Linked DNA regions of Schizosaccharomyces pombe. The protein of the gene in region 2 binds, or shares a complex with, the protein of the main gene of each other region. Each region holds a gene or a part of one and is shown on either strand. Other genes may lie near its edges.

Region 1 (7,743 bases), 750 kb from region 2:
TTCAACGTCATCAACGTCAGTTTCAAGACTTGGCGAATTGCTCGACATAATCCCTAGCAATTTTGTCAAACGAAGGGCGATCGTTTCGATATTGTTCAGCGATGGAAGCTACAAGAGGATCGTCAGGATTAGGTTCCCTAAGAAGTTGCAAAATTTGCTCCAAAACACTCCTCAGTTTGATGCTGGGTTTGAAAACTTGTTGTTTCAAAATGGCCAAACAAACGTTTCCTTCAGAGTCAAACTAAACAGGTTAGAAAATTCATAAATATATAAATAATTATGTATCTCGTTTAAAAATGTGATCAATGATTACTCCATACAGAAATACGATAAAATGCTTACATTTGGATGGTATATTCTGGTAGTAAACTCAATAGTAGGAGGCTGAAATGGATAGTCCAAAGGAAATTTTAATGAGAAATGAAATTTTCCCCCTGCGTACACCGAATCCGATGGACCAAGAGCTGTACAAGCCCAGTGAAATAGATTGTCGTCAACTAGGTTAACTCGAATATCTGGAATAGGGTGTTCTCGCAAGTCAGAATATTCCTGGTTACCATTTGAATATTAGCTATGTAAGAATAAAGTAAAAATATAAAAATTTACTTACTTTTGTCAGTCTTCTGGAAGATGAAGGTGATGCAGACGCCATTTGGTAAGGGTAGAGAGCAGTAACTACATGCGAGGACTTTACTGAACGTTTAATGGCAATTAATAATTGTTGTATTGTTTAAGGAAAAATTGATTCTAACATTAAATATAAATTCATCATGCGAAAATAGGGCACATTACTGGGCTGTGATTTACAACTTAGTCTAGGATGTATATCACGGACAGTATTTTTGTATTGATTGAAGTTTTTGGTTGGATTTACAATAACAACTTGGCAATCCGAGTCTGATAGTTACACATTGAAATCAATCTTAATAGAATATGTACTTCTGTATACATATTTAATCAGCGTCGCTAGCCGAGATTTAATTTAATTCTTTTTACAACAAATATAGAGTGGAAGAATACGCATTCATTTCAGACGCTCTTTAAACTTTCGAAAAGCTAGATTTTCAATTGAAAGCGGCTTTCATCTCAAGTTGAAACTAGGCATCTATGAGCCTGTTAACTTTATTTTAAAAAATTTAATTGCTAATGAGAAAGCTAATTTTGCAATCTAGTCTGTGCCGTAGCACGACTTAATACAACCTAGTTGTCATTTTCAGGCTTTTCTATGCTTTCTAGCTTTTCAGCATTAATGCTGCGTTCACTTTTTTGGAAGCCAAATTGTGTGAAAAACATCCCTAAAAGAAAGGAAGCAAAGGCAATTTTCCATTTGTTGGTGTTAGAAGATGTACTACCATGATTAGCATATTTTCCTTCTTGCGTCGCTTTTCATCTGTGAATGTTTATTTACACTCATTATTTTCGTCGTAACTTACACCATGAAAAGACCGCAAGCTGTCAACATCGCAGCTTGGTGATTAATCCCATGCAAGACAATTAATTCTCCATTTTTTTGGGAATCGTCTTCATTAATCCCTTCAGATTGCAGTGGCTTCCTTGGAACGACCTTTTCCTTCTCTTCTACGGTTTTGCAGTCTTCTTTAATGTCCTTTGGTAATTCTTTTTCTTCATTGGGCTTCAATTCGGACTTGCTAAGTTCAATAACACATTTATCAGCATAGGTAAGCCATTCATATGGCGTTCTCGATATTCCCCTTTTCCTATACGGCTTTTTAAAAAATGGCATTGTAAGAATAGTACATACACAACAAAAAAACCATTTGGTTAATGTAGGATTCTGTGCTATGTAAACAAACAAGTTCATCGGAGATAATTATGCAACTTCCATGTAATTCAAAACACTAGCAAATATACAAATAGAGGTATTTACTCATTTCGCTTTTTTTCCAAAGAAGTACATTTATCATCTGAGCTAGTGTTGCCAATACAGCGCTATCATATTCAGAATTTATAAATCCATTGACACAAAAATTTTCAATATATTTTAAATTGAGCATATTAATTTAAGAAATCAATCTCGGTAATGCATATATATATAATAATATACAGATTCTATGAACACCCCATCCTCTATCTCACAAAAAACTAATTACTGAATACATTCAAGATGCAAAAAAAAACAAAAAAAAGACAATCTGTGTTTTTATGAGACTTCAGCACTTGCATCTATAGTAGTTCAAAAAAAGCAATTAATCAAGCCTCATTTTCAATTCTGTCTTCCAATTGCGATGTAGCCTCCGCCTCCATTCCGCGAAGCGTTGCTAATGTGCCATCCTCTTCCAGTTCTTCAATTTTGGTTTCCATAGCCGTTTGCATTTTGTTCGCATCTTCATAGACAAAAGAACCTTCCTCATTATACGTCCTAGCATTATTAAACATTGTCATAAGATCCGATTTCATAGCTTCTAAAGTTTTATAGAAAGTGCCATTGATATGCTTTCTAATTGCATCAAGTGCGATAGGGGATTTAATTATCATGTAATAATCAGGATATAACTTCTTACTAGGAAGCTCCAAAAATAGTTTATTCAGAGGACGACCATTATCATCTTCAAGCTCATTAACGGCCTTGTATATTTCAAGGCACACACGACGAAGTAGCGAACGGTGCTCTGAAGTAAGTGTATCCGGAGCCGGTCCACGTTTCTTCTTTGGCTTTCCATTGAGTGTAAGAGCAGGTGTTTCGTCAACACTCGCTATATTACGCTTTGGGCGACCACGAGTTGGACGAGCTTCAGATTCCATATCCATTTCTGCCATCCACTGAGCATCTCGTACTGCTTCGTCATATACAACTGGGGTACGTCTGCGGGCTCCTCTACCGAGTGGTTCTTCCTGCAACAAGTCGGTGGTTTTCTCAGGTTCTTCCCTTTGGTAAAATTCAGGAAGCTCACTTACTTGGATGAGTCTTTCTTTTTCTTTATTCTTACCATATGGCGATTCCCTCTCCAAATCTTCAGTCATTTGTTTGAAAAGTCGCAACTCATCGTCACCTCGGGCAAGTATCTCATTGAGTTCATCGTCATCTAACTCGCCCTTCTCATCATTTTCTTCTTCACCGTTTTCGTTCTCCAAGAGCGAACGCAAAAACGCCTCACGTTCCTCTGGTGTTGACTTGTTGTCAAATTTTCCTGCTTGAATAACTTTGCCATCAATGTCCAATTTATATTGGGCTCTAGCAAGAATGTTTTCCTCTACCGATTTTTCAGTAATCAGTCGATAAATTCTAACCTCTTTGGTTTGTCCAATACGATGAGCACGATCTTGTGCCTGCAAATCTTGATGTGGGTTCCAATCCGAGTCGAAAATTATTACAGTATCAGCAGTTTGAAGATTAAGCCCAAGTCCACCAGCACGAGTACTTAACAAAAACAAATTTACTTCAGCAGTCGGATCATTAAATACTCCCAATAACTTTGAACGATCATCAGCTTTGGTAGACCCATCAAGCCGCAGATATCTCCACTGACGATAATGCAGGTAATCCTCCATGATATTCATAATTTGAGTCATTTGGAAAAACATTAATATACGATGACCAGAACGAAACAGTTTAGGCAAAATACGGTCTAACAGTTCGAATTTGCCAGAAACTCTCCACAACATATCATAGTTAAATCCTGTTGGATCAATTGAACGTTCCACGTCTTCAAACACAAAAGGATGATTACAGATTTTCTTCAACTGCATGACCGTATTCTGTAAGCCTTTGATACCAGTTTTACCGCGTTTAGCATCTTCCACATACAACATTCCATGCTTCTTCATTTGATAATAGAGCTTTTGCTGAAGCCCCGACATCTGACAACGAATAACCTTCTCAACTTTATCAGGAAGCTCGGCTTCAACATCCTTTTTAAGACGTCGCAAAAGAAAAGGACGTAAGACCTTGTGAAGACGGCGAATGACAAGCAAAGATTCTTCTTCTGTAAGTTCCATCTTATCCTGCCCGCCTGTATTAGCAAAAGGAGTATTGAACCACTCATCAAAACTTTTAATGGAATTAAAAATCCGTGGTAATACAAAATTAAGCAAAGCCCAAAGTTCCGGAAGATTGTTTTGTAAAGGAGTTCCTGTAAGGATAAGACGATAACGTGATGAATAATAGGTAGTTAAAGTATTTGTTAACTTGGATTGTGTGTTTTTCATACGATGTCCTTCATCAATGATCATATAAATCCATTTAATACGACTTAAAAGTGGTCGATCTTTTATGATATACTCGTATGTCGTCAAAAGAACTTGGAAATTAGAGTGACGAACTTGAGGATGCAAAGCTTTTCGAACTTGTGGAGGTCCTTTGTAAACAATCTTTACAATTGATGGCGCCCATCTTTCAAATTCCATGGTCCAATTTGTTAAGGTCGATAAAGGAACAATTACCAAAAATGGCCCATTCTGCCGTTTTTTCTCGATTAAGTGGGTAATAAGAGAGATTGTCTGAATAGTTTTACCTAAGCCCATTTCATCAGCAAGAATACCGTTCAAATGATTATTATACAGTGAAATCATCCATTGCAAACCACGTAGTTGATATTCCTTCAGCTTTCCTCCTACTAAAATAGAAGGCTGTTCAGTGACGACTTCACGAATATTATGAGCAACATTATAATAATCAATCTTTCTATCGTCTTCAGGATTCATTCGGCGATCCATATCTTCGTCATAGGCCGATTCACCAAATTGAGACTGTTGTACTTTAACAGCAGCCGCCAAGGAATCCAAGTAATGATCAGTTTGCCGTAATAAATGAGTAATTCTTGTATCCTTCGCTTGATCAATAAGTTTCAAGTAGGCCTCCTCATCATTCTCCTTCAAGGCTTGTAATCTTTGCTTTGCATTGCGTTCAGCACGACGCTGTTCTTCTTTTTCGATATGCGAATGATACGCCAATACAGCGCGATTCGCTTTCTGAGCCCTTGCCTGAGCATTCTTGGTTCGGACATTAATCTCTCGACCATGGGCACATACAGTTTGCAGATAATCGCACTGTTTTTGCTTTAACCTTCTTTCGCGATCACTTCTTTGCTGGCGCTCTAATACTTCAGTCAGGCGTGTAGCTTGAGGAACTAGCTTAGGACGGCGGCATGACATGCGTTCTACGGCATTAACTATGGTACGTAAATGCGGTTGGCAATGCATCACTTGATGGCGAAGAGATTCTTGCTGTTTGATGAGTCGTAATTTCTTCAATTCAACTAGCGCATTACGTTTGATAGTATCCAAGTTTAAACGTTCGTTGTCATCTTTTAATTCTGCAACATCCCGCATCACAGCCGGATAGCTTTCCAAATCCGACATTCGTCGGAACATCCTATTCTTTATAGCATCATCTTCCGAAATTTGATATTGCAAGTATTTTCTTTGCTGCTTTGCTGATGGTGTTATTTGACAAGAGCCAAAATCGCGTCGCACCTTCCCATCGACTTTAGAGTTCTGTAAAGGCTGTTTAACTATACTCTGAAGCAATTGCTCATCTTTGGAAAGCCTAAGTAACACAGATAGTATACAGTCGTCGGGTGCTGGAAGATTTTGAGAAAGCTTTTTGTAAGCCAAAACTTGTTGTTTCAAAATCAGTTTCTCCGTATTCTTATCTACGGAAGAGAAACACCTTTTAATGTGTCCTTTTAAATCCCTCCGTGCTTCAATTTCTGACTGTGCTGATCGCAAAACATCACACAATTGAGCATATTCCGTATTATCGTGCTCAGTAGCGCCAGACTCTTTCAATTTCTTCCATCGCTAAAAAAACAGTTAACTCCTTAGGTCCCTACAACACTTACCACAATTGTTTCTTCCACTTCATTTCTCGTGTATTGCTTCTCTGCACGCATATTTGTGATCAAAAATCCAAATTACCACATAAATAGACGATTTCCAGGTCGTTATTATTGAAATAAAAAACAAACAAAATTCTATCACAAAAGTGATTGTACGCCCTTAGTAAAAAGTGCTTACTTGCCAATTCTTGCAAATCGTTAAACGCTAGGTTGTTGGAAAGGCATACTGCACTTCCAACCCTCCATTGTGGCAAACAGGGCATCAGTCTTATCGTTATTCTAAATAAGGTTGTCTAAAGAGAACGCAAAAAAATATGAATATTAGTAAAGAATGGTACATATATATGTCTAACTACACCTCAGATTTCATCTAATAAAGAGGAAAGTAATTAAACACTTTTCTCTTTTTATACACGAAATTAAATAGTATATGAAATTGCACACATCCCAAATCGACAACTCAAAAAACTTGCGAACTGAGTTAATATTAAAGATTTTAACACACCCAACCAAAAATGATATTTTATACAAACTTAAGTAGTCTTAAAATTATATTAGAGGCTAAAGCCATTTAGACATGTAAGGACCATCCAATGTGTATCCCAATTTTTGATAATATTTTCGAACGCCAACACCCGAAATTCTAAAGTAATGTTAGTAAAGTAAAAAAAAAATAAGGATTAAGTCTTCAGAAGGTCAAAATTTGAAGTCCATTTGAAGAGTTTAAAGACAACTTACACACTGATCTTTTTACTACCATGCTCATACTTAGCTATCCGCTCGGCTTCTTCTAAAAGTAATGTTCCAAAACCTTGATGTTGGAACTTCTTCGGATCTCTACTGTGAACAGGAACGGCACTGCCATACACGTGAAGTTCGCGAACAAGTGAGGTAGGCTGAGAAGTAAATTCTGGTCGATATGTCTTATCGGAACATTGGCGAAGTCGTAACAAACCAATCAAGATATCTTGTTTGGGATCTTCATATGATAAAAACGTTTCCCATCCGCCATTAGCAGTATAGTCTCGGCGAAGTAATTCAACTTGCTCAGGATGAATTTTATGATGCACTTCTTGCATACCTACTTCACGAGCACGAATGTCTCGACACTTTGTGCCTAAATCTCGCATTCTATTTAAAGCAAGTTCTCTGAGATTTCCTGTTTCTACGCCTGAACTTACAAGCGGCATTGGGATATCTCTTTGAATACGGTAAATACGGGTCCATGGAGGTACCAAAGCGAGAATTCTAGCAATAAGATCCACCAAGGCATTGGGGGTATAGTTTTTATATCTTCCCGTTTTCCATAATTCATATAAACCAGTACCACGAATAACTAATGTAGGATAGAGCTTTAAACCATCAGTACGGAATGCAGGGTTTTCAAAGTACTCTTGAAATTGGAATATATCTCTTTCCATACCAACATTAGGCAAATCAGGCATCATATGCGTAACCACCTTGTATCCAGTATCCTTAGCCAACTGGAATGTTTCGCACACAGCTTTAACAGTATGTCCTCTATTGGTGTCTCTGGCGACATCCTCGTAAACACTTTGGACACCAATTTCCAAACGAGTACATCCGTAACGAAGCATTTCATCCAAATGTTGGTCTAGGCAATAATCAGGACGCGTCTCAATAGTAATGCCAACACATTTTGTCTCAGATTGCTCAGAAAATTTGACTGCTTCATCTAAATCTTCAGTCGTAGCTCCTGAAAGAGCATTGTGTAAATTAGCAATAAATGTGTGACGGTAGGATTCAGGTAATGACATGAAGGTACCGCCCATGATAATGTATTCTACTTTATCGACTGTGTGGCCTAACGACCGCAGTTGCTCAACACGTCCTCTAGCCTGTTCATAAGGATCATAACGAGCGCGAATCGCACGCATACTAGTTGGTTCATAACCAGTGTACGACTGTGTCGAGTATTCAAAAT
Region 2 (8,119 bases):
TAAATCAAACAAAAACTTGCAGTATGTAAAATCAATAAATAAATATACAAAGGTTTATGCAGTATTTGCATTAATCTATTAAGTTACTTGTAAAGTTTTAATATGTTTCTTTTGTTTTTTGTTTAGATCTAATATTATAGCTTAGTCGTTGAACCAATGATACCATGAGATGGGGTTTATATCAGTTTTGAGTAGAATTTGCAACCTGTCCTCACCCTCTATCGGGTTTTAATAGTGAAAGTAATAACTACTGTTTTTAACAGTTTTTCTTCAGTACTTTTGCGTGAATTCATAAATATTTTAGGACCGGTGAATTTCTCAGCGCAGTGCTTTTATCCGTCTTTACTGTTACTTTCGCTAAGTTATTTAAGACAAATAATTGAGTGTTGTTTCATTTTTTAGTTAGTTCCAAATTTTTGAGGTGGCATACTCCTAAAACTCTCGTTAGTGTAAAACCCGTCATCGACAGTTCGAAAAAGCATCCGAAATTAGACTTTTAGAAATTTTGCTTCGATCCTTTCTTATTCTTTCACTCGTTATCAAATTTTTTTGCTCAATTCATAGTCAGACGACATAATGGATGTTTTAGTACCAATCTATACTGGACCTATCAATCCGGTTTTTCCATCAAGAGCACACCCATCTCCTCCTCTTGGGCTAACAAGTAATTTGTTTCCAATTCAAACAAACAAGTTTTATGGTAACTTGTACATTGGCACCCGTCATAATCCATCATGGTCACATCCTTACTCAGTAACTTGGCTCAATGGTAGCAGCTATTATGGACTTGCGATTTCACATATTGATGATAGCCAACGCGTGTTTGGACCAGACCCAGAATCGGTTCCATGCCAATATTACTTTAATCCTGCTGGACTTTATTCCATAATCATTTCTGCACGAGAATTTGCTTCGGGTAACCTCTTATCCCTTGACCAATCTCGTCATTTCTCTATCCAGGCTACTCTTAGCGCTACAACCTCTGGTTCAGGGACTATAATCCTACCCATTGTTGCTGGCATGGGATTTGTAAGTGGTTATTATACCAATTTGACTCCTGTATTCAATTCCTCCATCCTTTTCTCATCAATTACTAAAATAAATTTCAGTAGGGGCTACAAATATAGAATTCAATTGACAGATGGAAAGATCTGGTTTCTCTACGCATTTCCTACGAGTTCGAGCAGTACCTTCAATTTGACTCTTGCTTCGAATTCTCAACTAACTACTTCTACAAAATTTACCGGTCTCATACAAATATGTAAAGTTCCAAACGAAAGCGTGAATAATTCATATCCGGATACCATCTATGATGCTTCTGCTGGTGTATATACTACGTCTATTTCTCTATCAGCTCAAGTTAGCGGTACCACCGGGGAATATTGGTTTCGTTTCGCTACAGCTGGATATACTAACTTAAATCCGCTAATGTTTGCTCTTCCCCATCATATGCAAAGTTTTGGTTCTGACACTCAAGCGTACAAAACAGGTTTAGGCTTAGCCAGTACAACAATGGGTATAATGTTTGCCTATGCTACTAAAACTTGGCATTTAATCGAAAAAAATCTTCCAACGCAGGTAGGTTTTTTACCAATTCCTTGGAATGGTGGAAGCAATACGTATTCTCCTACTGCTTTAGCCGCGATTCGTGCAGCTTGTGCAACTGATATTAACTTCGATGTCGTAAATGCCAGTAACCTTGACTCAATGTACACGTCTGGAAAAATAGTAGCCATGTATGCTCAAGTTTGTTTGGTAGCTTCTAGAATCCTTGGTGATAGCACTCTCACTAACACTGGATTGACAAAATTGAAGCAAGCCATGGCTAGATTTACTACGAATACGCAAATGTATCCCCTCGTTTATGATACCACATATAAAGGTATCATCAGTACGGCAGGATATAGTTCTCCTTTAGCAGATTATGGTAATACCTACTATAATGACCATCATTTTCACTGGGGTTATCATATTTACGCATGTGCGGTAATTGGTCTATTGGATCCTTCCTGGCTGGTTAATGATAACATTCGCTATGTAAATGCTTTATTAAGAGACAGTGCAAATCCAAGTGAAAGTGACACCTATTTTGCTATGTTTAGAAACTTCGACTGGTTTGTTGGACATTCATGGGCAACAGGTATATTTGAAAGTGGAGACGGTAAAGATGAAGAGTCAACCTCAGAAGACTTCAACTTTCTGTATGCAACGAAATTGTGGGGTATGGTGAGAAATGATACTGTTCTTATCAACCGTGCAAACTTGATGCTCGCCGTCCTAAAGAACAGTTTAAATACCTACATATACATGACACCCACTACTTCAGTACAGCCTTCACAAATTCTCGGCAATTACGTGACAGGAATTACATTCATGAACAAAGTTGATTATGCAACTTACTTTTCAGCTGAAGAATATTGTAAACAAGGCATTCACATGATTCCAACTACGCCTATCAGCGGATACCTTCGTTCTCCATCTTACGTTCAACAAGACTGGAACGCCAAAATTGCTCCGATAATAAATACATTTTCAAACAATTGGACTGGTATTTTATGGTCCAATTATGCAATTTACGATCCAAAAACTGCATACAATACCTTTGCTGCCAGTACCTTTACTGCTGATAAAATTGATAACGGAGCTAGTAAAACCTGGTACTTAGCTATGGCTGCTGGTATGGGTGGATCACCATGATGGCAAGGGAGCTAATGAAAAACTGAAGCATTACTTTTCGTTTCAAAATTATGTAACCATTTCAAAACAACACATAGAGAGAGCTACCTATTAGCTTTTTAAAACACTATCATTTGTTTTAAAGTTTTAATGAAATACTAATACTATGAAATAGAAAACGTAGCTATTAATGCAAAAAAACTGCTTATTCAAGTTGGCTTACTTCGAAGTTTTCCATAAATATTAAAGACAGAAAATTACTTTTTCGCTTCTGCATTGTTTTAAAACATTAACTAGTTCAATGGCTTAAGAAACAAATAAATGAATATTTCTAAAGTATATGATCAAAAAAGCCGTAAATTGTAGAGTTCACTATTCACGACTACTGAACGCCTTAACACTTTCAACGATGCATTAAATTTCTTTATATAGTATTGCTATCCAACACACGAAACTAAGGTTTACGAGACTAATAATTATATAATTCCTGCATCTACTAAAAGGATATTTTATCCATTTAAAACTATACTAAACTATTTACATAGACATGGGTAAGTGCGGTTAATCAACCATAATATGTGTTGAGACGAAGACAATGGCATGAAATGGCTAATGACCATACTTTAGAGGAAATTCCGTCATTGGTAATAGATCCTGGGAGTTGTTGGACAAGATTTGGTTATGCAGGAGAAGAAAGTCCGATGACTATCTTACCTTCATATTACGGTGTTCGATCTGATGTGACTGGTCGAAATAAATATGTTGTTGATGAGTTACAAATTCATGCTCCTATCCCAGGAATGGAAGTCAAAAACGGAAAAAGTAATGGGATTATACAAGATTGGGAATCTACTTTGTACACGTGGGAGCGTGGACTGAAAGAAAAACTACAGGTAAATCCCACAGAGTATGCTATGATGATTACTGAGCCTAGCTGGAATCCGCAATCTGTTAGACAACAAATCATGGAAGCTGCTTTCGAGCAACTTCATGTTCCTGCTTTTTATTTGACAAAACAAGCTGTTTGCGTGGCATTTGCCAATAGCAAATCTACAGCGCTAATTGTCGATATAGGCTCAGATAATGCTAGCGTTACTCCTGTTGTCGATGGATTGATTATACGCAAAGGAATTTTTAAACAAAGTTTAGCTGGCGACTTTTTGAATGCTAATATTGAGCAATTGTTTAATACTATGAACATAGAATTTCCTCCACACTATAGAATTGCTAGAAAATCGGTTGCCATTCAACAATCAGGTAATATGGCTAACGGCAGCGCAGATGCCGTGAAACCAGCTGTACTGTATCCACCTATTCAAGATCTTACCTCTTCTTACGAAATTTTTCAGAAGCGTAGGGTCATAGAAGAATGGAAAGAAAGCGTTTTAGATGTTTTGGATACCCCGTTTGATGAAGCAAAAGCATCCTCTAGAAACCCTAAGCCTTTTGAATTTCCGGATGGGGTTACACATAAGTTTGGTCAAGAGAGGTTTCGCATTAGTGAAATACTCTTTAATCCCTCGTTTTCAGCCAGCAGAAGTGCTGAAACAACGCCTCCACAGGGTTCCGTGGGTCTTCATGAACTTGTTTATCAATCCATCCTTGCTTGCGACTCTGAATTACGTTCTCCTCTATTGAACAACATTGTAGTTACCGGAGGAACTTCCTTAATACCTGGATTATCAGAAAGGTTACAAGCTGAGGTTCAGCGGTTGGCTACTGGAAGTCGCATCAATGTTCATACCGCAGAAACCGCTTCTGCCACAAGCAACGCCGTTTGGTTTGGTGGCTCAATTCTTGCTAGTTTGGATAATTTTCAACATTTGTGGGTATCTAAGCAAGAGTACGATGAAGTAGGTGTTGACAGAGCTTTGTTTGTTGAGAAAAGATGCAAGTAATCCGCCTGTGTTATTTGCTCACAAAAAATAAAGTCTTCAAAACCCAAGAGAGTATAAAATAAATTTACGAAATCTCGCATAACACGTCCATAATTCTTTCTTTTTTGCTGAGCTTTATCAACGTTGTATATAACAAAATCAAATACCCAAAGTGCTTCGAATTAATTATTAAATCTAATTTAACATAAATGTATGAAACAATTCTAATTTCAAGCAAAATTGTCAGAAACATTCTAAAGCTTTTTTTTTTACTTTCTGCCTAACGATATAAGAGCAGCATAAAGTTGCATTAAAGCAGATTGATTAGCTTCCGAGGTACCAACAACCGAAATAAACTTCTCATTGCTGTTTGAGTCTGATTCCTCAACAGTTATGTTAGCATTTGTATTCTGAGATATTTCCATCAGTTTATGAGGCTAGAACAATATAGTTAGTATACTTATCTGAAATATTTATAAGAGCTTACCATAGCGTGATAAAGTTGATCGAGTAAAGAAGATGGAACGGACATTTTCTGAGATACGACTTGGGTTGCAGCTATATTTAAAGGAATCGAGGGTCCAGAGTGAGGAAATACTTGAGTGGTTCGAAGGGGATCAGGATTTCCTCCGGCACTAGTGAGAGCTATAGGAGGGATTCCATAAGGGTTTTCAGGTGTTACCATACTACTCATATGATTAAATTGTGTAAAAGTAGAAGGCGAACCATATATGCCATATGCAGCATCTGGAATGTAAGGTACAACGCTAACGCGGGGAATGAAAGAAATTCTTGAAAGGATGTATTTTAATAAAGTTTCAATAACAACTGAAGCATCTATTTCATTAGTTTCCAAGGTAACCAGTCTTTCAGAGGATCTGGGTAGGAGAGATGCTGAGTATAAAAGCTTGGTTGAATTGGAAACAGAAAACAAAGAAGGAATTAAGTTCTGGTGAATCAGAACTTTTGAACCCAATATTAAAGATGATACTGCTAAATTGATGTTCAAGGAAGCGTCTTCTTCTTTAGTAGGAGTGACAACTTTTATAAGTGCAGGTATACTAGAAGCAAGGTTTGAAACACTTGAAGTGCATATGAATATCTTTCTAGCAGTATTTGAAGAAGAGTATGTCTCTACACGAACTTGGCCATTTTTTAATATTTCCTGTTGAATATCCTGCGGTAACAAATTCCATTCTTGGACTTGCTGAGCAGTTAACACTAATCGAACGCGACATTCATTTTCATTGTCTCCAAAAGTTTGGGCAGCTGTTAAAACGGGAGGTCGAAGAATGTCCGCTGAAATTGAAACCACTGATGTACCAGAGTCCATATTGGATATCTCTTAGTTGGCAATTTGGATATTGCTGCATACAACGGTGTTCCATCTACGTAGGAAGAAGTGCGTTATTCTTCGCTATGCAATCAATTTTTTGAAATATAGAAATCTACAAGTTTTCATATTATTTTATGCTTTCACAATTGATAACAGTTATAATTATTGATTTATCACAGTTGGTTATTGTAAAGAGTATGCATATAAGCAACACTAACAAACGATGGACTCGGTTTAAACCAACGAACTCGCACAGTTTCAAAACTGAAACGAAGTAGATATGTATCGCTCACTTAGTAATTAGATTATTGAGGTTTGATGATCTCATATTTGTCATTACATGGTAGGCTTTTTACCAACAAACGTAACAATTTTATCTATTTACTCAGACGAAAGTTTAAGAAATGCGTTGCCGTAAGGAGAGTAGTAAAAATAGTTTTCTATAATAATCAAATTTTGTGAAGCATCAGAAAAACTTTATTTAAATCTCAAATAGAACATAAAAACGATAATCAGCGAGAGGAGCTGCAACATATAGGTATCATGGCCTTATAGTAAGCCTTATAGATGCAAAATCTATACATCAACTTGCATTTCATCAAGATCTTGAACAGTTACGAACTTGTAAATGTCCTCTTTCAGAACTGCAGTGGTGCCGCGATCATAGGTGTACTTAGATTGTTTTGTTGCACGTTCATTAGGTTTGGAATAACCTCTGTATGGCGTAGCTTTTTCCTCATCGATAACTACTAAATCACAATTGGAACCAGATCCTAGATCGTTAAAAATACCAGCCTCAATGGCTTCCTTAACAAGCTCCATAGCTTCATGTCGTTCTAAGTCTGGTTGATATTTAGTTTCTAAAACAGAAATTGCTGCAAGACTTCCGGATCCTAATGCAACATAAGGCAACTTATCACTTGAGCCATGTGCGGCAATGGTAAACAAATGTGGACCTTTACAATCATAACCACCTAACACAAGGTAAGCACCAATATGTCCTTGATAACGAAAGAGATGTTGCTTTAGCATTGTCAAAGCAGTAACAACTCTTGGTTTACGGTTCGTGTAAAGAGAGTGCAATTCTATATTAGAGGAAATCATTGATGTAACAAATTCCGTATCTGCTGCAGTTCCTGCACCAGCACACCAAATATTGGGAGAAATTAAATGAAGTTTTTTACCTTCTAAGGTCAGAAAAAGCCTTATGCTTATAAATAAATGCAACTTACAATTTTTGTCAGCAATGATGGGCCCAGCTGTAGCACGAGTATCAGCACCTAGGACAATACAATCTTTGGCAATGACACCAACGATAGTAGTTCCTGTTGATGTAGCCTTTGGAGTTGGGAACCCTTTTTCCTGCAAAAGCAAATTTCTATTGTGAGTCGTTAATATACTACTCTGGCTTCTCACTTTCAAGTCTATAACTTTTGACCTTACCTTTGATAGTATTCAAAATCAAAACCTTTTCTTTCATTTATTCCCATCATTGCGTCTATGAATTCAATTTACTTAATCGACAATGTAGTAGGCAGTGGATACCAGGATTACACATTCCTCTGACTAACTTAGAAATACCAATCTAGGATATGGTGCGTTAAAACTGTTAGTGCAGTGTAGTAAAATAATTTATAAAAAAGAATGTGATACAAAACACCAGCGACGTGTATAGCACTTGTAAAGGTGGTTTTTTCTTCTACGTTGTATGTCTATTTGTTGGACTGCAAGTGTTGTGTTATAATTTCATACTTGTATCTATATTTTATTTTGTAATATTTAATTTGCTAAATATCACAAATTACTTATGCACAAGTGAACGTTGGCCGTGCAATTCGTCATTTAGCTGGCAACTGAATCGAATATTTTAATAGACTACAGAAGAAAAACATGAATGCTGAAAATACTTTCTCCATCTTAAATACTAATGAACCTAATGCGGGTGGCTCACAAGTCACTGAAAGCGAAATTGAAGAGGAAGACATTGAAGTACGTACATTAGTTGTATTGTGTATTAACTTTTCTTGCAGTTTCTTTCGTTTGCGGCTTTAAAAATTGGTGCTACTAGTAGTTTAAGCAATTCTTCCTTAGGTCTCCCAGAATATAGCAATTTATTCGCAATTAATAACTTGAAAAGTCTTTTTGTTGCAGGCGTCCCTAATTACTTAATTATTGGTTCCACTTTAGACTTACAAAAGTCCCTCATTGACGCTGATGAAAATGTTGACGC
Region 3 (6,211 bases), on a different chromosome or scaffold from region 2:
CGGTGCTGAACATCATATTCAAGAAGAAGAGCTTCAGTTTCAGCTTCCTTGGTTTCCATTTCTCCAAGATCTCGAACAAAATGACCTTCTGGATAACGACTAGAAGCATCCCATAAGTCTATAGCTACTACAATACGACGACCTACAAGTCTAGGCGCTTGCCTTGTTCGAAATCGAATCTTAGGTACTCGCCTATCCATAGGTGTTAGCAAAACTGTTTGCTGAGAACCGCCTTTTGACTGGGCAATAGTAGCATTATCAACATGGCCAACGTATGGGCGCCAATTCCTTTTTAAAATACCAACCACCTTAGCGGTTGGATGAGCATTTCTTTTCGTAATCAGTTCCAAGTCATTTATTCTGGCCGAATCGGGTTCTGCTGCAGTACTCACAACAACGTCTTCATCATCATCAGCTATCTCTTCAGCTTCCGTTTTCCATTGATCTTGAGGTAATATTTGAATGCAAACGATATCACCTTGCACAGCACGATTTAAATTTTCTCTTCCTGAAACTAGCACGGGCTTGTTGTAACCAGGAACAACAACAGAACCTTCTAAATAATTATAAGTACTAATATTGATAAGTCCTTTATGCACTTCCCCATTTTTTATACAAGCTAACAGCCTAGACATAGACCAATGTAGTTCATATACGTTTTTTGTTCCAGACTCTACCTGCTCTTTAGAAGCAATGGCGTCCGCAATGGCCGACACCATATCCAGTAAAATTTCAGAGTCGGGCAGGTACTGAACGTAGTCTTTCAATGTAGAGACTTGAATACCTTGTTCAGCAGCCAAGCGAGCATTTTCGCGATCATCGGTTAATAAAACAATCTTAATACCTAAGCTGGCCAAATGACTGGCAAACCAACTAGCCGCGTTGCGAATTGCACGATCATTACGGTCATTAGCAGATTCATCATCCAATCTTTCAACGAACGTATCAACAAAAAATTCATTACTAAAAGGGGTAAATCTTTTAGTTTTCTCTTGGCAAAGGCGTTTCATTCTATTGTATAGAGGAATAGATTTTGAAGAAATTTCTGAAAAAACCGTTTGCAGAATAATGACATCGAAAAAATTATTTGGATGTTCTAAGGCATCAATACAATGGTAAAATATATTGGAATCAGGGATTAAATAATGATGCCCAAATTTCTCCAAGAACATGGGCTTCTCTGATAAAATAGGCTCTAACACTATCGTAAGAGTTAATTAAATTTTGCTTCACATTAAAAAAAAATGAAATTGAATAGTAAATGAATTAGTTTCAATAGCTCTCAGAAATTAACTTCACAGAAAATTATACCAACTAATTCCAGACCAATGCAAATTACTCATGTGGGATTCCTTTAATACTTACCATTTCCCCTCGAGTCCTTTGGAAGTTTAGAACGGCAAAGAGGGCAAGCCCGACTTTGACAGGGTATATCATTTCGTAAATATTGCTCACGAACAACTTTTTGAACCTTCCCCCTGGTTGCACGAACAAATACTCTATCTCTGTGATTCTTCTCGGAGCTTTGAGGCCTCTTCAATCCTGAAACAGTGCTCATCCTGTAAATCTTCAGAACACTGAAGATTGCTTTACTAGAAAAGTTTTAGACCCTGGAAAAGCTACTATCACTTACGGCATTCACAACACAACACTACACGTTATTATTTTAACGCAGGATAAAAACTTCTCATATTTCACACACCGAGAACAGACTGGGTCTCGTAATATTTGTAAATAGAGCAAAATTGCAGACAAAACTGAGTATTTGAAGGTTTTTTCTTTAAAACAAAACGCAGTTATTTAAATTTCATTAAAGATTAAGAAAAAATATACCTTTTAAGGTTAATTTTTTGGTTTCCAGTCCACTACTTAATCTAACGTACAAGTTATAAATATGTTTGTAATATTTATTAGCTAATTTTATTTTTTTAAGTAATAAATGATAAAGTTGAAACAATTAAATGTTATTTCAACTGAATTTATAACTCCCACCTAAAATTATGACCCACCAGACTATTGTTTGAATTGGAACTTTACATTAAAAGCAGATAAAAGTTCAAATGGCATACATAACTTCCTTTCAAATTACTTTGTGTGGAAGCAAGCAGCTTCTGATCTTATTACTTTTAGAGTGTTTATTTGAATTTGGAAACGCCAAGCAAAAGTAAATAATTTTGCAAAAGTGTTCAGCTTATGAAATTTTAACAAAGGTTTTCGGTTTTATTAAAATCGTAGAGTAACGTCGAATTTCAGTTTTTCTGCTACGCCTGTTCCACGCTGCGACCCTACCACCGCACATTGTTTAAAATATTTATTGACACTCGTTAAGGTAAAAGACTGTGAAATTAGGTACAAGTCTATAAAATCACGCTTGGTTTTGGAATTGATATTCGTAACATTTTCGTTTGACACCAACTTTTCTTATGGAAGAAGAAGATATCACACTTGAACATTCTGATGACTTAAATAAAGAAGAATCTGGTGAGTCGAATAGGGTGAATATAGAAGAACCTGAACATCATGATAATTCAAATAAAGAATCTACAAATCTTGATGATTTAAACATGTTGGAAGAACCTAAATATCATGATAATTCAAATAAAGAATCTACAAATCTTGATGATTTAAACATGTTGGAAGAACCTGAACATCATGATAATTCAAAAAAAGAATCTACAAATCTTGATGATTCAAATATGTTGGAAGAACCTAAACATCATGATAATTCAAATAAAGAATCTACAAATCTTGATGATTTAAACATGTCGGAAGAACCTAAACATCATGATAGTTCAAATAAAGAATCTACAAATCTTGATAATTCAAATATGGATGAATCTGAAAATCAGAAAAATTTTAAAATTGAAGAACCCAAACCTTCTGGTGATTTTAGAAACGAAGGACCTAAACAGTGTGATGATTCGAAAATTGAAAAACCTGAGCTGCACGTTAATTCAAAAATTGAAGAACCTATACATCGCATTGATTCAGAGCATAATGAACCTGAGTATCACACTGAATCAAAAAATGAAGAGTCTGAACATAATACTAAATCAATCAGGGAGGAACCGATACATCATGTTGATTCAAAAAATGAAGAACCTGTTTACTCCAAAATTCCCGAAAAAATGGGTGATGAATTTTCAGAAAATAGTCTTTCAAAATCTGATTCTGCAGTAAAACAGGAGGGTAATTTGTTGATTCATCCAAATAACAGCCTAAAAGATACCGCACCTTCAAAATGCAAAGAACCTCCAGTTGATGAAGCATTAAGTAAAAAGGAAATTAGTGATGACATTGCTCAAATCACGAGTGTAACCCCCATAACAGAAAAGATTGAGGACAAAGATAAATACATAAGTGAAGTAATTGACACGTATGGCAAACTAGCGGATGGTTTTGAATATCGAGCTAAAACATTTTGCCTAGAAGGACGTGGCAAAGTGTTGTATATGCTTGGTACAGAATGCTCAAGATTACTCGGCTTTAAGGATAGTTACTTCATGTTTCATAAGACGCCATCTTTACGAAAAGTACTTACAACACAAAGTGAGAGGGACCAAATGGTTGAAATGGGTTTGTTGGCATCTAATTTTAGATTTCGACAACTAAGCATTGTTCCAGCTAGACAAATGTTTTTGGCATTCGGTGCTAGAATATTGATGAAGGGAACGATAGATCCAGAGAGTCATAAAGCTCTTATTGAAAAAAACATTAGCTGGGCTGACGATGAGTATTATCATATGGATGTCATGGCTAATGGAAGCACTCGTTCTTCCTCTGTAAAGCTTGAGCTAAAAAGTATGGATAATCAAAATTCACCCTCACCATTTCAAGGTAAGGATATTTTGACGCTTGCTCAGGGTGCTTCTTTTTACAATTCTAAAGTCATGAGGACAAGAAATCTAAGGAAAGAAGCAAGGTTAAGTTATTATACAAAATTACGAGGTGTCAACAGATCTGTTTCATGACTTTATATTAAAAATTATTAATTGCATTGCTGAGCTATCATATTTTCGATCAAGTGGATTTAGGCTAGTTGCTATTGGTTTCTTTAATTTAATCTAAATACATAATATTTTTTACTTTTCTATAACTCTTTTCACAAATACTGAACAACATTTCAAAGATCACTAGCTTTTAAAATACTGAAGCATTGCTAAACTAAGGAAATCTTTCTAAATGTGAATATAAATTACTAATTAGCTTCAACTTTAAAAATAACGAGGTACAATCCAAAATTGTTACATATCGTAAATTAAGTTAATGTACTGTTCCGTACTATAGCATTTGGGGTTAAAAAAGAATAATCGGTAATGTTTTTTCTCTAGACAACCAACTGTAAAATTTGTAACTACAGCATTTTTTACAATGGTTTCCTTAAGTAAGTATATGCACGCGTAACTATTTCTAACTTATTTCTTAAGAAAAAAAGAGTAAAAGAAGAACTACTCGTCTTCGTAGCAGAATTGAAAAGAAAGCTGCAGAGAGCAAACGCAAGCAAAAAAGAGCTGATAAAAAAAATCCGCAATGGAAAAGCAGAATTCCTAAAGATCCAGGTATTCCTAACTCATTCCCCTACAAGGATAAAATTCTTGCTGAGATCGAAGAACAGAAGCGCATTAGAGAAGAAGAAAAATTGGCTCGTCGTGCTTCAGGACAAGTTGATGCTGCAATGGAAGAGGAAGACGCTGTTGATGAAAATGGATCCCTAATGATTTCAAAGATAGCTGAGGCTGCACAAGCGTCTAACCCAGATGATGAGGAAGAGTTTGTGATGGAAGAAGACAACCTTGGAGAGGCCCCTTTATTAGTTGACTCCGAGTCTTATGAGGCATCAGTGAAGGCAGATACCTCTAGAAAGGCATATGATAAGGAGTTCAAAAAAGTTGTTGAAGCGTCAGATGTGATTCTTTACGTTCTTGACGCTCGTGATCCTGAAGGGACTCGTTCAAAAGACGTTGAACGTCAAGTTTTAGCATCTTCTGCTGAAGAAAAGCGTCTTATTTTCGTTATCAACAAAATTGACTTAGTACCATCAGAAGTACTCAACAAGTGGGTTACCTATCTCCGCAATTTCTTTCCTACGATTCCTATGCGTTCCGCTTCAGGATCTGGAAACTCAAATTTAAAGCACCAGTCGGCTTCTGCTAGTTCCACTATCTCCAATCTTCTTAAATCACTCAAGTCTTACTCAGCCAAGAAGAAGCTTAAAAGCTCTCTTACAGTCGGTGTAATTGGATACCCCAACGTTGGTAAATCATCTGTTATTAACGCTCTTGTCAACCGTTCTGCGAATGGTCGTTCTGCACCTTGTCCTGCCGGAAACGTTGCCGGAATGACTACTTCTTTGCGAGAGGTGAAGCTAGATAACAAATTACGTTTGGTCGATAGTCCTGGTATTGTTTTTCCTTCTAGTGATTCTAAAGACGATTTGTATCGTCTTGTAATGCTTAATGCTGTTTCATCCACCAAAGTTGATGATCCCGTTGCCGTTGCTTCTTACATTTTGCAATTCCTTAGCAGAGTTCCAGGACAATTGGAAAGAATGTTTCAAAGATATGAGCTTCCTCCTCTATTGAATACATCCGATATAGACACTGCTACTGATTTTTTAGTCAATATTGCTCGTAAGCGTGGTCGTCTAGGTCGCGGTGGAATTCCAAATCTTAACGCTGCTGCCAATATTGTCATTAATGACTGGCATGCTGGTCGTATCGAATGGTGGGCCGAGCCTGAGGTTATAAACGAAAAGAACTCATCTGAAGTTCAGGATACTCAAATCGTTACTGAGTGGGCCAAAGAATTTGACCTTAATGATTTTTGAGAGTTTTCAACTTACGAAAAAAGCTATTGTTGCTTAGAGCTTATATTTTGGGATTTGGTTTTCGGTTGCGGTTTTTCTTCGGGTTTTAAAAATCTTTAGGTGTTGATGGTTACTAGCTATTACTTTTTGAATTAATATATAAATAATTTTTTTTGCATATATGCCGTATTCTTGAATGTGTTGTTTTACATTTACTTGTAAAAGTAATGTTTGATATGGGAGAAGTTTTAAGTAATAGGTTCGCTAATACGGGAAATTATTAAATCAATGCATGCTGGCTTAAATAAAGTCAATTGAATATGTACGGAAAATGACATTGATACTAACGTGCAGTTATAAGTTTCATTTCATTTTTATATCAATTGATAGGATAAACACAAACAA

What was found. The genes of interacting proteins can lie anywhere in the genome.
Region 1: arp42 (region 2) and snf21 share a complex: the UniProt entries of both Schizosaccharomyces pombe proteins name them as parts of the RSC complex.
Region 3: arp42 (region 2) and snf59 share a complex: the UniProt entries of both Schizosaccharomyces pombe proteins name them as parts of the SWI/SNF global transcription activator complex.

What each region holds. Positions count from the first base shown.
Region 1 is NC_003424.3:5,098,165-5,105,907, forward strand, and holds snf21 (RSC-type complex ATPase Snf21), read right to left. Parts: upstream 6,014-7,743; 5' UTR 5,853-6,013; coding exon 5,802-5,852; exon of another isoform or gene 5,761-5,801; coding exon 2,212-5,760; 3' UTR 1,984-2,211; downstream 1-1,983. Other genes in the region: TFIIIC subunit Sfc7, read right to left, coding at 1-48; ubiquitin conjugating enzyme Ubc14, read right to left, coding at 23-241, 343-549, 611-652; protein mug95, read right to left, coding at 1,201-1,348, 1,434-1,822; elongator complex histone acetyltransferase subunit Elp3, read right to left, coding at 6,360-6,441, 6,537-7,743. UniProt on the Schizosaccharomyces pombe protein: Helicase. Component of the chromatin structure remodeling complex (RSC), which is involved in transcription regulation and nucleosome positioning. Controls particularly membrane and organelle development genes.
Region 2 is NC_003424.3:4,350,281-4,358,399, reverse strand, and holds arp42 (SWI/SNF and RSC complex subunit Arp42), read left to right. Parts: upstream 1-3,139; 5' UTR 3,140-3,223; coding exon 3,224-3,227; exon of another isoform or gene 3,228-3,303; coding exon 3,304-4,574; 3' UTR 4,575-4,822; coding exon of another isoform or gene 4,823-4,990; 3' UTR 4,991-5,040; coding exon of another isoform or gene 5,041-5,886; 3' UTR 5,887-6,067; downstream 6,068-8,119. Other genes in the region: cell wall and ascospore endo-1,3-beta-glucanase Eng2, read left to right, coding at 577-2,697; U1 snRNP-associated protein Usp108, read right to left, coding at 4,823-4,990, 5,041-5,886; pup1 (proteasome core particle subunit beta 2), read right to left, coding at 6,466-7,073, 7,122-7,267, 7,333-7,382; nucleoporin, WD repeat Nup146, read left to right, coding at 7,780-7,878, 7,920-8,119. UniProt on the Schizosaccharomyces pombe protein: Component of the chromatin structure remodeling complex (RSC), which is involved in transcription regulation and nucleosome positioning. Controls particularly membrane and organelle development genes.
Region 3 is NC_003423.3:3,966,316-3,972,526, reverse strand, and holds snf59 (SWI/SNF complex subunit Snf59), read left to right. Parts: upstream 1-1,782; 5' UTR 1,783-2,423; coding exon 2,424-3,971; 3' UTR 3,972-4,228; downstream 4,229-6,211. Other genes in the region: 3'-5' exoribonuclease subunit Dis3, read right to left, coding at 1-1,201, 1,366-1,558; GTPase Grn1, read left to right, coding at 4,372-4,384, 4,428-5,827. UniProt on the Schizosaccharomyces pombe protein: Component of the SWI/SNF complex, an ATP-dependent chromatin remodeling complex, which is required for the positive and negative regulation of gene expression of a large number of genes.